2 linked regions of the Daphnia pulex genome follow. The protein of the gene in region 2 purifies or fractionates together with the protein of the main gene of each other region. This does not show direct contact. Links are inferred from orthologs where the notes say so. Each region holds a gene or a part of one and is shown on either strand. Other genes may lie near its edges.

Region 1 (5,227 bases), on a different chromosome or scaffold from region 2:
GTTCGTCTTCACTCGCTACACCGATCAGATGAATCTGGCACAGAGAACCATCAACACCGTAGTCACGAAAATGTGCACGTTCTTACAGCAATTGTACGAAGAATTGACGATCCCGGCCATCGTCAAGGAGACGGGCGGCATCACGGGCTGCCCGCCCGTTCAGAACATCATTAGAAATGTGACAATGGTCTTCACTAATAGCCACCCGAGTTTCACTTATCCAAGATCTCTGCCGCCGCAAGTCGTCGAAGTGGGCGGACTCCATTGCCGGCCGGCCCAGGCTCTGCCCAGCCATTTGGAGACTTTCTTATCATCGGGACGATCGGACGACGGCGGCGGTTTCTTGCTCTTCAGCGTGGGCAGCCTACAGCGAATGGAAGACATGCCCGAACGGGTTATCCAGTCGTTCATCGGGACCTTCGCACGTTTGCCCGGCGTGCGGGTCGTTTGGCAATGGAAGGGCAAAAGGAGGACAGATTTACCTTCAAACGTTTTGGCCATTCCTTGGTTGCCGCAACAAGATCTTTTAGGTAATACAATAATCTGAAAATTATAGGAACATTTCATTTTTAATCGGTATTCATTTAATTTAATTGACAGGACATTCTGGCTGTCGGGGTTTTATCACTCACGGAGGACTCAACAGTTTACAGGAAGCCATTTTTCACGGTGTACCCGTACTGGGATTGCCTTTCGGCATTGATCAGTATTTAAATTTAGCTCGGGCCGTGAATGACGGTTACGCATTGCAGCTTGAATGGAGGGATATCGACGAAAGTACCTTGAGCGCAGCCATTGAGAAGTTGCTGTTTAATCGCAGGTATTATTTATTACGCAACGATTTCCGCTGAAAGCCTTGGACTATGTATAATTTTGTTTTTATCGTTTTTCGTTCGTGAATTTTTGTGCAGCTTTTCGATCGCTGCGAAAAGATTGTCCGGCCTTTTGCGTGATCAATTACAGTCGCCGTTAGAACGTGCCGTTTTCTGGACCGAGTACGTGATTCGTCATAATGGATCGATGGACCACTTGCGATTGGGATCCCGCAAATTGGCACCTTACCAGCGTTCGCTGATTGATGTGTACCTCGTGTTAGTTCTGATCGCCAGTCTTCCACTCTGGCTCGTTTTCTTGTGTTTGCGTTGCTGCTGGTCTACTAATAAAACCAAGGCGGCAACTGCAATGTCAAAGAAAAGCAAGCAAGAGTAGTAGAACCTAGATTTTAAGAGTCAAGTTTTCCAGGAACTTGTATAAATTGCTTGAGCAATGAATAAATTTATTCCTTCTTTTTCACGAAGCAAAGTGTTTCAACATGAACAATTTAACAGATAAGAAAATTCTTACAACATTTTGACGTCGATTTGACGTTCGTTTTCCCCAGCTCAGATCTTTGTCACTACTTAACAAGTGATACTCTAGAGACATTTATTTTAGTTTTAAAGATATTGCGTATCAAATTTTTATACTGTTAAAGAAGTAGGATTGTACTTATTTGTTGAATTATCTTAAACGACAGAAGATTTATGAAGCGACAAACACACAAAACTCAACTTTCAAATATTTATAGATGTTTAGCAAATATTTGCATACTAATCCGTGAGATATAAACATAATAGCAAATAGCGTAGATACCAACTAGTTTCGATTTCGATTGATTTTGTAAAGATTTTGAGTTTCAAAAAGGCCGGTCGACGTTCTACCGTCGTGGCGTCGTCTGCTAGTAGTCTGTAGCCTGTCAATAAAAATCTGGTTCTTTAGTAACTGCTGGCTGGTATCAAATAAACTCTTCTAGAACACTCGGTTACCTGAAAGTTCATCATCATGGAAGAGTCTACTGAAACCAAAGAAACTGTCCAAGAGATTGTTACACCCGAAGGTTTGTTTCAACTATTGAAATATTTCAAGAATAGTTTCCTTCAATTTCAAGTCACGTATTTTCGGTTCGTTTGGTTGGCTGACGTTGCTTACGCATTCAGGTCAGGTTAGTGAGGATACCAAAGAGCATGAAGACAGCCAAAAAATTAAAGTTCCAGACCCGAGCATTGATGAAGAGGCTGGAAAGATGCAACCTTTGGAAACTCCAGACAAGGATAATATCGAAGACACAACATTGATTGAAGGGGCCTGGGCTGATATTTTGGGCAGTGGTCAGTTGAAAAAGAAGGTGAATTTAGCTTAAATGCATGATCTTTGTATATGTTTATCATCAATTACAGTAAGTGATGACAAACTCATTTTGTTCATCAATTACAGACCGTCAAAAAGGGAATACCAAACACCAGACCAACAACCAATGAAATATGCACAATTAAAATCTCTGGCCAACTTGTAGATGGTAAAGCTGTTGATGTTCAAGAAAAGTTCTCTTTCCAACTTGGAGACTTGGAGGTATAAAGTTTAGCATTAATTTAAACTGTAAATGTGTGACAATAATTGAGAGAGAAAGCAGAGTATATATTTTACTGATTCATATGCTTTCAATCCAGGTTATTCAAGGCATCGATCTCATCGTTGCATTGATGGACTGTCACGAAATCAGTCAAGTGGAGGTTCAGCCACGTTTTGCTTATGGAAGTCTCGGAAATGGCAAAGATATTCCACCGGAGGCCACCATTCTTTACACAATTGAACTGCTAGAGGTATCTAAAGAAACAGATTTAGAATTGGTCAACATCGACGAAAGACTCCGGATAGGGTAAGCACCGTCAAATATATTCCGAGCGAGCAATACGGTGAATTCCAACATGTATATTACTTGCAGAAACGCTAAACGCGAACGTGGCAACTGGTGGTACAGCAGAGGAGATTTCACGTCATCTATTCAGTGTTATCGGAGAGCCTTGGATTATCTCGACACAGAAAATGAAACAGAAACGGTACAAATTTGGCTTCTTAACGTTATTTGGGATTTGCATAGATTGTTCTTCTTTCAATAGGATTCTCCAGAGAAATTGCAAGAGATCTTGGATGACCGGCTAAAAGTCTACAATAACATGGCAGCAGCACAAATGAAAATCGAGGCCTACGATGCAGCTCTGAAATCAGTGGACAATGTTTTGAGATGCCAGAAAGACAATGTGAAGGCAATCTACCGCAAATCCAAGGTTTGTGCACCGTTTTTATTCTAAAAAATCAACCGCTATTTATTTGTCTGACATTTTTCAAACAGATTGTTACGGCCATGGGTAAAATGGGCGAAGGAATAGCACTGTTGGAGAGGGCTTTACATCTCGATCCATCCACCAAAATCGTCCAGCAAGATTTAATGCGCCTGCAAGCCAAGCAGAAATTGGAAGTTCAGAAGGAGAAGTCTTTATACAAGAAAATGTTCAATCTGAATTCTACACCAGCACCCACCACTTCGCAAGGAAAGCCCAAAGTTAAGCTGACGGTCAGTTGAAATGGGAGGCTTTTTCTCTTTTTCAAATTAATTAATTTACATTTAAAAGGTGCCATGGACATTGATGATCGGTGCAGTGACTGCAGTCGTTGCCAGCTACGTTACATACCGTTTCAAACTCTTCTAAAATATTTGTTGGTGGTTCGTGTGTAAGCTGCTGATCAAATATGAAGTTGCTTTGGAAAATTTCAAGGCCTATCGACCGGTTTAAGTTAAAAAAAAAAAAATTATTCGTCATCAGTTTGAATGGAATCATTCCCTTATCTTGTTCGTAACTTTAAGTGGCCGCAATCATTTCTTTTTGCGAAAAAGTAATAAATGCCTTCCTTAAAACGCTTTAGAAACCCTTAAATTGATGAAAATATTCCTTGTATTGTATTTCTTATTACACACACAATAATGTTTGATCATTACAAATCAGGTAAATCACAGCCGGTGTAAGCGCCTAGTTGAGCACAGTGTTTGAGGAATGGACCCCAATGTTCATCGTGGACAAGTAAATGTGGATTTCCGATGACAATCAACAGAGATTTAGCACGAGTGACAGTGACATTGAATCGCTTGGGACTGCGGAGGAATCCCAAATGCTGGATGACGTCTTGATCGACGTAATACTCGTGTGAGCGAACGGTACTCACGATAATGACGTCCCTCTCTTGGCCTTGGAACTCTTCGACAGAGCCCACTTTGAACGGGACTAGATCGTTGGACTTGATGAAACTGCGGATCTTTTCAACCTGTTTGCGATAGGGTGTGATGACACCGACGTTGATTGGATCCACCTTGGCGTTGAGGAGCAGCTGCAAGTAGCGGATGACGTGGTAGACCTCAGCCGGATTGCACCAAGAGGGACTGTCAGTTTCCTGATAGTTTTCACCGCGGATGCCGTGGAAGAGCAGAGGAATTCCAGGTTTGGGCAACCAACTGAAATGGGCCATCTTTTCGGCCGTCTCCACTGGTGCACAGGACACGAGCTCATTTTCATAAAACATCAAAGAAGGCAAAGTTAGGAGCGAAGGATGAGACCGATAATTGCGGACAAGCTTCGTCAGTAGATTGGGGTTGTAGTGGCCACTGTCGGCGAACGATTTGCTGCGCGAGTAGAGCGGATTGTTCGACAATCGTTCCAGCAAGGAAAGGCTTAATCCATAGGAAGAAGAATGCTGACTCATTAACACAGGTCCCAGCTGCTTAGGATCTCCGGCTAGAATGATCTGTCCCGGATTGGAATCGCAGCGAATCAGGCCGACCGAGACTAGAGTTTCCGGCTCAGTGGCCTGTCCAGCTTCGTCGATAAAGAGGTGAGTGAAATGTCCGATCTGAAGGCACATGGTGTAAACCTTTCCTGACGTAGTGCACGTCGTGACTAGAATGCGGTGGCGAATAGCCTTTTGAAGTTCGTCGCACGTCATACAGTACTGCTGTATGGCTTCAGACATTGTGTCCATATTACGGCTGAAGGCGTTCAAACGGACCAATTCACCGACGCTGACTCGGCCGCTTTCGTGTAACCGATGAGCAATCAAATCCGCAGAGCTATTGGATGGTGTGGCAACGAGAATGCGGCTGCGTGGGCACAACAAAAATACTTGTAAGATTGCCTCGACCACCGTCACCGTCTTGCCTGTGCCCGGCGGACCGTAAATGATGTAAGGAATGGGACGATGGACACCCTCCAGAATGCGGAGGACAGCCCGTCGTTGCTCGCGATTTAAACAAGGATTAACCCAGTCAATTTGATCTTCTTCCGATTTCTTTTGGAACAGACGATCAGCAACGGAACTCGTCTTGCGCAACTTGAACTGCGGCGGGCGAACTTCGGGATCG
Region 2 (4,768 bases):
CCGAAACAACAACGTTCTTAACAAATTATAAAATCTCCCTACATTAATTATTCATAAAGAATAGTGAGTAACAGTAAAAGGATACGCTTTAGTTTGTTTGTAGCAATCTGAAGCTTTGTACAGACAATCCTTTGCCTTCTGTAGCTCTTTTGCAGTTTTGAAACATGTCGCAGCTTTATTGTAACTGTCGGCTGCCAATTCATAGTCAGGTTTCCATTTCAGCAAGGAAGTTTTTAAGCTAATGTGATTGATTTGGTGAAGAAAATGAAACAATATTAACATATCATCAAATGTAAACTTAACAGAAAAGACTTACTGTTTCTCTGCTTGTTGAACAAGTTCTGTTCCTTCCGAGGATTTCTTAGCTGCAGCCATATTAAAATTCACTAAAAACGATTCGGTAAAATAAGCCAAAGAAAACTGTACAGGTAATATCCTCCTAGTTCTTGTAACTAGCACAAGTTACACTCACCTGTCAAAACAATGTCTGCATCTTTTTTGCTGACGATCAAATCAATGGAATTGCAACGTTGTCGGATATATTTTCTGTTCGGTTATTCTCGCGTGAAGTTTTCGTGAATAATATGAACGCGCATAATAATCGTGAGACACGCACTGGAGCCATCACGTCCGATATTATTTATCACTGTTTTTATCACTTTGCCATTTTTCTCTCAAAAACCGACACGGGGACTTTGAAAGCATTTAAGTAAGAGTCACTCAAATGACCTATCAACTGGGAAGAATCGTGACTTGCACGATGAAACGCGCGATCTGAAAAATATGAATTATAGTTGGAATAGTTGCCCAATTATCTGTCGCTTGCGTGTTCAATTTCCATCTTATCACTGAGACCCTGAGACTTCTGAGTGAAAGTTCTGAGTTTGGTAACCGAGTAGGCCATCACTTATGTGGAAATGTATCGTTTTATAATTAACAAAAAACTAATTAATTTCGTTCACTTAATTTTTTATGTAAAAATTAAAAAAGTAGCATTGGAAATTCTGTTGAAACATTTAAAACAGTCACAATAAAATCAATAAATGTGGGCTGTATTTATGGTTTAAAATAGAAAGATAGTTGTTAACGGTTAAAATAAATGACAGTTTCTTTGGTCATACACGTTACTATGATATTATTGATGCTCTGGATACAAATTTGAATAATGCCACAGTGCAGGATTATTCCTTCCATTAGCATCGAGATTCGAGTACGGAGAGACACCACCGAGCATAACCTAGATTGAATGAAAGATGATCCTGTTAATGACAACCTTATTAACAATTTAATTTTACACCAAACTCACCTCAGGAACAGGGTTTGTTAACGGTTGTATGTATATTGGGTTGCTGGACCGATACTGCGGAACAACAACCACGGGGGCTCTCGGAGCAAACGCCGTAGGTTCTTTAACGTCCCTGGCATCAAAATCGAGAAATCCGAAAACTTTTTTAAGTTTTTCGCGCTTATTGGCTTCGCAGTTGTGTATACTGAAAATTAAGGTGAAAGAAAAGACCAGTGCGACGCAACCTTTCTGCATAGATAAGTTAGTTTCTAAAATAATATTGCGTAAATTTGTCAATAAAGTAGTACCTTATTAATATACATTTTGTGTTGCAAATTGAGTTTGGCGACAGAAATCGAAAGTTACAACACGTAGAGGACGAGCACACGTAGACTACTTTCAATTCAGCGCAGCACCTTCTTCTTGTGCCTTTATACTTCCACCTCCCCCCGTCCTCGGTGCTCCACCTCCCTACTTTCTCCGAGTATGAGATGGCATTTTTTCTCTACGTGACCTTTCTTAACGCTATAGGACGAAACCTTGACCTAATGAAAACTTTCTCCGCCAAGGGACATACCAACCAGTTCTAGTAGCGTAAAATATTCCCATTAAGATCTCCCCTCGCCAGCCAGCAGCAAATATAATAAAAATAAATGGCAGCACTCTGTCATTGAAAAAGTTGTTTTTTTGAGACTTTTATTTAAAAATGTGTAGAAGACCAGTCCCAGTTAACAAATTCAGCCGTTGCGGTATTCACTGATTTCTCGGTCGGGAGAGGCAGCTCTTCTATTGCTGTCATCAACGGATCTTCTTGAAAATATTTAGCTTCCAAAAACTGGTTGTCAATGCAAAGTTTTAATTAGATTTAAATTTTTAAAAGATAGAAGATTAGAAATGACCTGTTTAGCTGTTATTCGTGATTGGGGGCAATAGCGAAGAAATTGTTCCAGCATCGTTCGTGATGATTCGTCTACATCAATCAGGATTTTCTTAAAGGAGATTTGTTTCCGAGTTTTGGTAAATGAAATTTTGTGGAAATCTGGCAATGCTGATACACCTGGCCAATTTTCTTCGTCTGGAGTGCCTAGTACTATGTAATTACCCACAAAAGAGTTAATGCCATTCACCTTGATTATGATTACCGTATTGTTAATGACCTTGAATGACTGTGCACAGTTGGCCAATGTCATTTTCTCCCTAGGGTTTGATGGAAATCCGGATACTGTTACAACATATTATATTGACAACATTGGCCATTATTTACCGGAAAAAGGGGAGAATTCTTCAACATTTCACCAAAGATACAGCCCATAGCCCATAGGTCGACTTCCGGTCCTGTTGTGAAAAAGGTGTTAGAATTAACATGGCATTTTTAAATTAAAATGAAACTTGCCATAGTTGCGAGAACCATAGAGCAGTTCCGGTGCTCTGTACCACCGCGAAGCCACCTGATGTGTGAATAATCTTTGAGCCTTTTCGGAATGATTGAACGTACGACACAATCCGAAATCGGTCACTTTCAGTTCGCCTCGGGAACCAATCAGCAAATTGGCCGGCTTCAAATCCCGATGCATAATACCCAAACTATGAATATATTCCACAGCGCTGGCTAGCATCCACATGTCTAAATGGAAAGGATTGCATATTGGTTATTTGAATGCCTAAAATCTGATTGTAGAGATGTAAATATGGTACAGCTTTTCACGTGACTCGTCGGCAAAGGTTTGGAGTTGGAGCGCAAAAATTCGTAGAGATCTATTGGTAAATATTCAAAGACCAACACAAGCGAATATCCTTGTGGGAAATAGTCCACTAGGTTCACTACATATTCATGGCGGATCAGGCGAAGAGCCAGCAATTCACGAACAGCCGAGTTCGGCAATCCCTGCTCGTTAATGTTCTTCAACGCTATCCGTTTCATGGCGACCAGTTTCATTGTGGACTTGTCAATACCTTTAAGAACGATCCCGTGTGCCCCTTCCCCAATCCTGCCGTTCACAATATATCTTTCCATGAGATCGTTTAAAAAAACTAATCGCAACAAATATTTTTAAACAACAAATTGGTTGCCTTGACTACGCGCCATCTATTGGTAACCATTATCGACACGTGAAAAGGAAAATTAGTCTGCTAGAAATTTGAAGAAGAACAAGTGGCAAGCAACTTTATGTGCATGTTGTTGTAAACTTTCTCGTACAAAAATGAAGTAAATCCCGCACTTTTGTCAATTCAGAGACCACATTTAATTTATTTACATGTTCATAGATTAAATGTTGATGGACTCCTCGTCTACTTCCCTTACGATTACATATACCCGGAGCAGTTTTCATACATGCTCGAACTGAAACATGCTCTCGATGCAAAAGTATGTTGTATCGTCCAATACTAGTATAACTTGAAATTACATAAATATCTGTTGATGTTGGATCAATTCAGGGTCACTGTTTATTGGAAATGCCTTCTGGAACGGGGAAGACAACAACATTGCTATCATTAATTGTGGCCTACATGAAGGCTCACCCCCTTGATTTAACCAAACTAGTCTACTGTTCAAGAACTGTTCCTGAAATTGAAAAGGTTATGGAAGAATTGCGAAAATTAATGAATTACTACGAAAAAGAGATGGGCATGGAACAAAACATTCTTGGCTTGGCACTTAGCTCCAGAAAGAATCTCTGCATTCACCCCTCAGTAATATGAATTAAATAGTAAAAAGATTTAAAAGTATGGTTAATCAACAACACAATTACATAACAGGTCAGTAAGGAGAGAGAAGGAAAAGTAGTCGACGGGCGCTGTTACGGTCTCACGGCATCGTTTGTAAGAGCTCGTCATGCAGGTGATGACGCTGTGCCAGTATGCAACTTTTATGAAGGATTCGATGCTCATGGAAAAGAATTTCCGCTGCCTCCTGGGGTGTACAACCTGGACGATTTAAAGGAATATGGACAGGCCAAAGGATGGTGTCCTTATTTTCTTGCCCGATACACCGTTAGATCATGACATTTATAAAATATTGTACAACCAAATTAATACCAAATTTAAATTATAGATAACTCACGCCAACATTGTGGTGTACAGCTATCATTACTTACTTGATCCCAAGATTGCAGAAGTCGTTTCCAAGGAAATTTCAAAAACTAGCGTCGTTGTCTTTGATGAAGCCCACAATATTGGTAATTTTACTGAAACGTAACCTCTTAAAATTGCCCTACTAATTAAATATTGGTTTTTCTAGATAATGTCTGTATAGATTCGATGAGCGTCAAGATAACGAAACGTCTGCTGGATAAATGCTCCAATAGCATTCAAATTCTGGAAACCACCATTTCAAAGTAATCACAACTGGATGTGCATGATTAATTTCAGAGTTGTTAACTTTTTTAACTCTTTAGCATGAAAGAAAATGACAACAGAAGGTTGGAGAAGGAATACCAAAGGCTAGTTGAAGGATTGCGAGATGCTAACATAGCGAGAGAAACT

What was found. The genes of interacting proteins can lie anywhere in the genome.
Region 1: the proteins of cyclin-dependent kinase 20-like (region 2) and peptidyl-prolyl cis-trans isomerase FKBP8-like purify together in Homo sapiens (affinity purification with mass spectrometry; 5 studies listed by BioGRID and IntAct, with this or other methods). This does not show direct contact. The link is inferred for Daphnia pulex from reciprocal best matches to the Homo sapiens genes CDK20 and FKBP8.

The regions. Positions count from the first base shown.
Region 1 is NC_060018.1:11,873,078-11,878,304, forward strand, and holds peptidyl-prolyl cis-trans isomerase FKBP8-like, read left to right. Parts: upstream 1-1,691; 5' UTR 1,692-1,821; coding exon 1,822-1,876; intron 1,877-1,976; coding exon 1,977-2,164; intron 2,165-2,253; coding exon 2,254-2,388; intron 2,389-2,486; coding exon 2,487-2,695; intron 2,696-2,761; coding exon 2,762-2,876; intron 2,877-2,936; coding exon 2,937-3,104; intron 3,105-3,169; coding exon 3,170-3,391; intron 3,392-3,449; coding exon 3,450-3,527; 3' UTR 3,528-3,733; downstream 3,734-5,227. Other genes in the region: UDP-glucosyltransferase 2-like, read left to right, coding at 1-530, 601-820, 912-1,209; RNA helicase Mov10l1-like, read right to left, coding at 3,811-5,227. UniProt on the Homo sapiens protein: Constitutively inactive PPiase, which becomes active when bound to calmodulin and calcium. Seems to act as a chaperone for BCL2, targets it to the mitochondria and modulates its phosphorylation state.
Region 2 is NC_060017.1:8,162,109-8,166,876, forward strand, and holds cyclin-dependent kinase 20-like, read right to left. Parts: upstream 3,396-4,768; 5' UTR 3,300-3,395; coding exon 2,981-3,299; intron 2,910-2,980; coding exon 2,679-2,909; intron 2,621-2,678; coding exon 2,550-2,620; intron 2,483-2,549; coding exon 2,443-2,482; intron 2,376-2,442; coding exon 2,185-2,375; intron 2,121-2,184; coding exon 1,986-2,120; 3' UTR 1,952-1,985; downstream 1-1,951. Other genes in the region: gamma-soluble NSF attachment protein-like, read right to left, coding at 86-238, 317-375; uncharacterized protein LOC124193271, read right to left, coding at 1,136-1,237, 1,307-1,534, 1,594-1,608; general transcription and DNA repair factor IIH helicase subunit XPD-like, read left to right, coding at 3,487-3,491, 3,551-3,650, 3,722-3,976, 4,043-4,276, 4,338-4,461, 4,524-4,620, 4,681-4,768. UniProt on the Homo sapiens protein: Required for high-level Shh responses in the developing neural tube.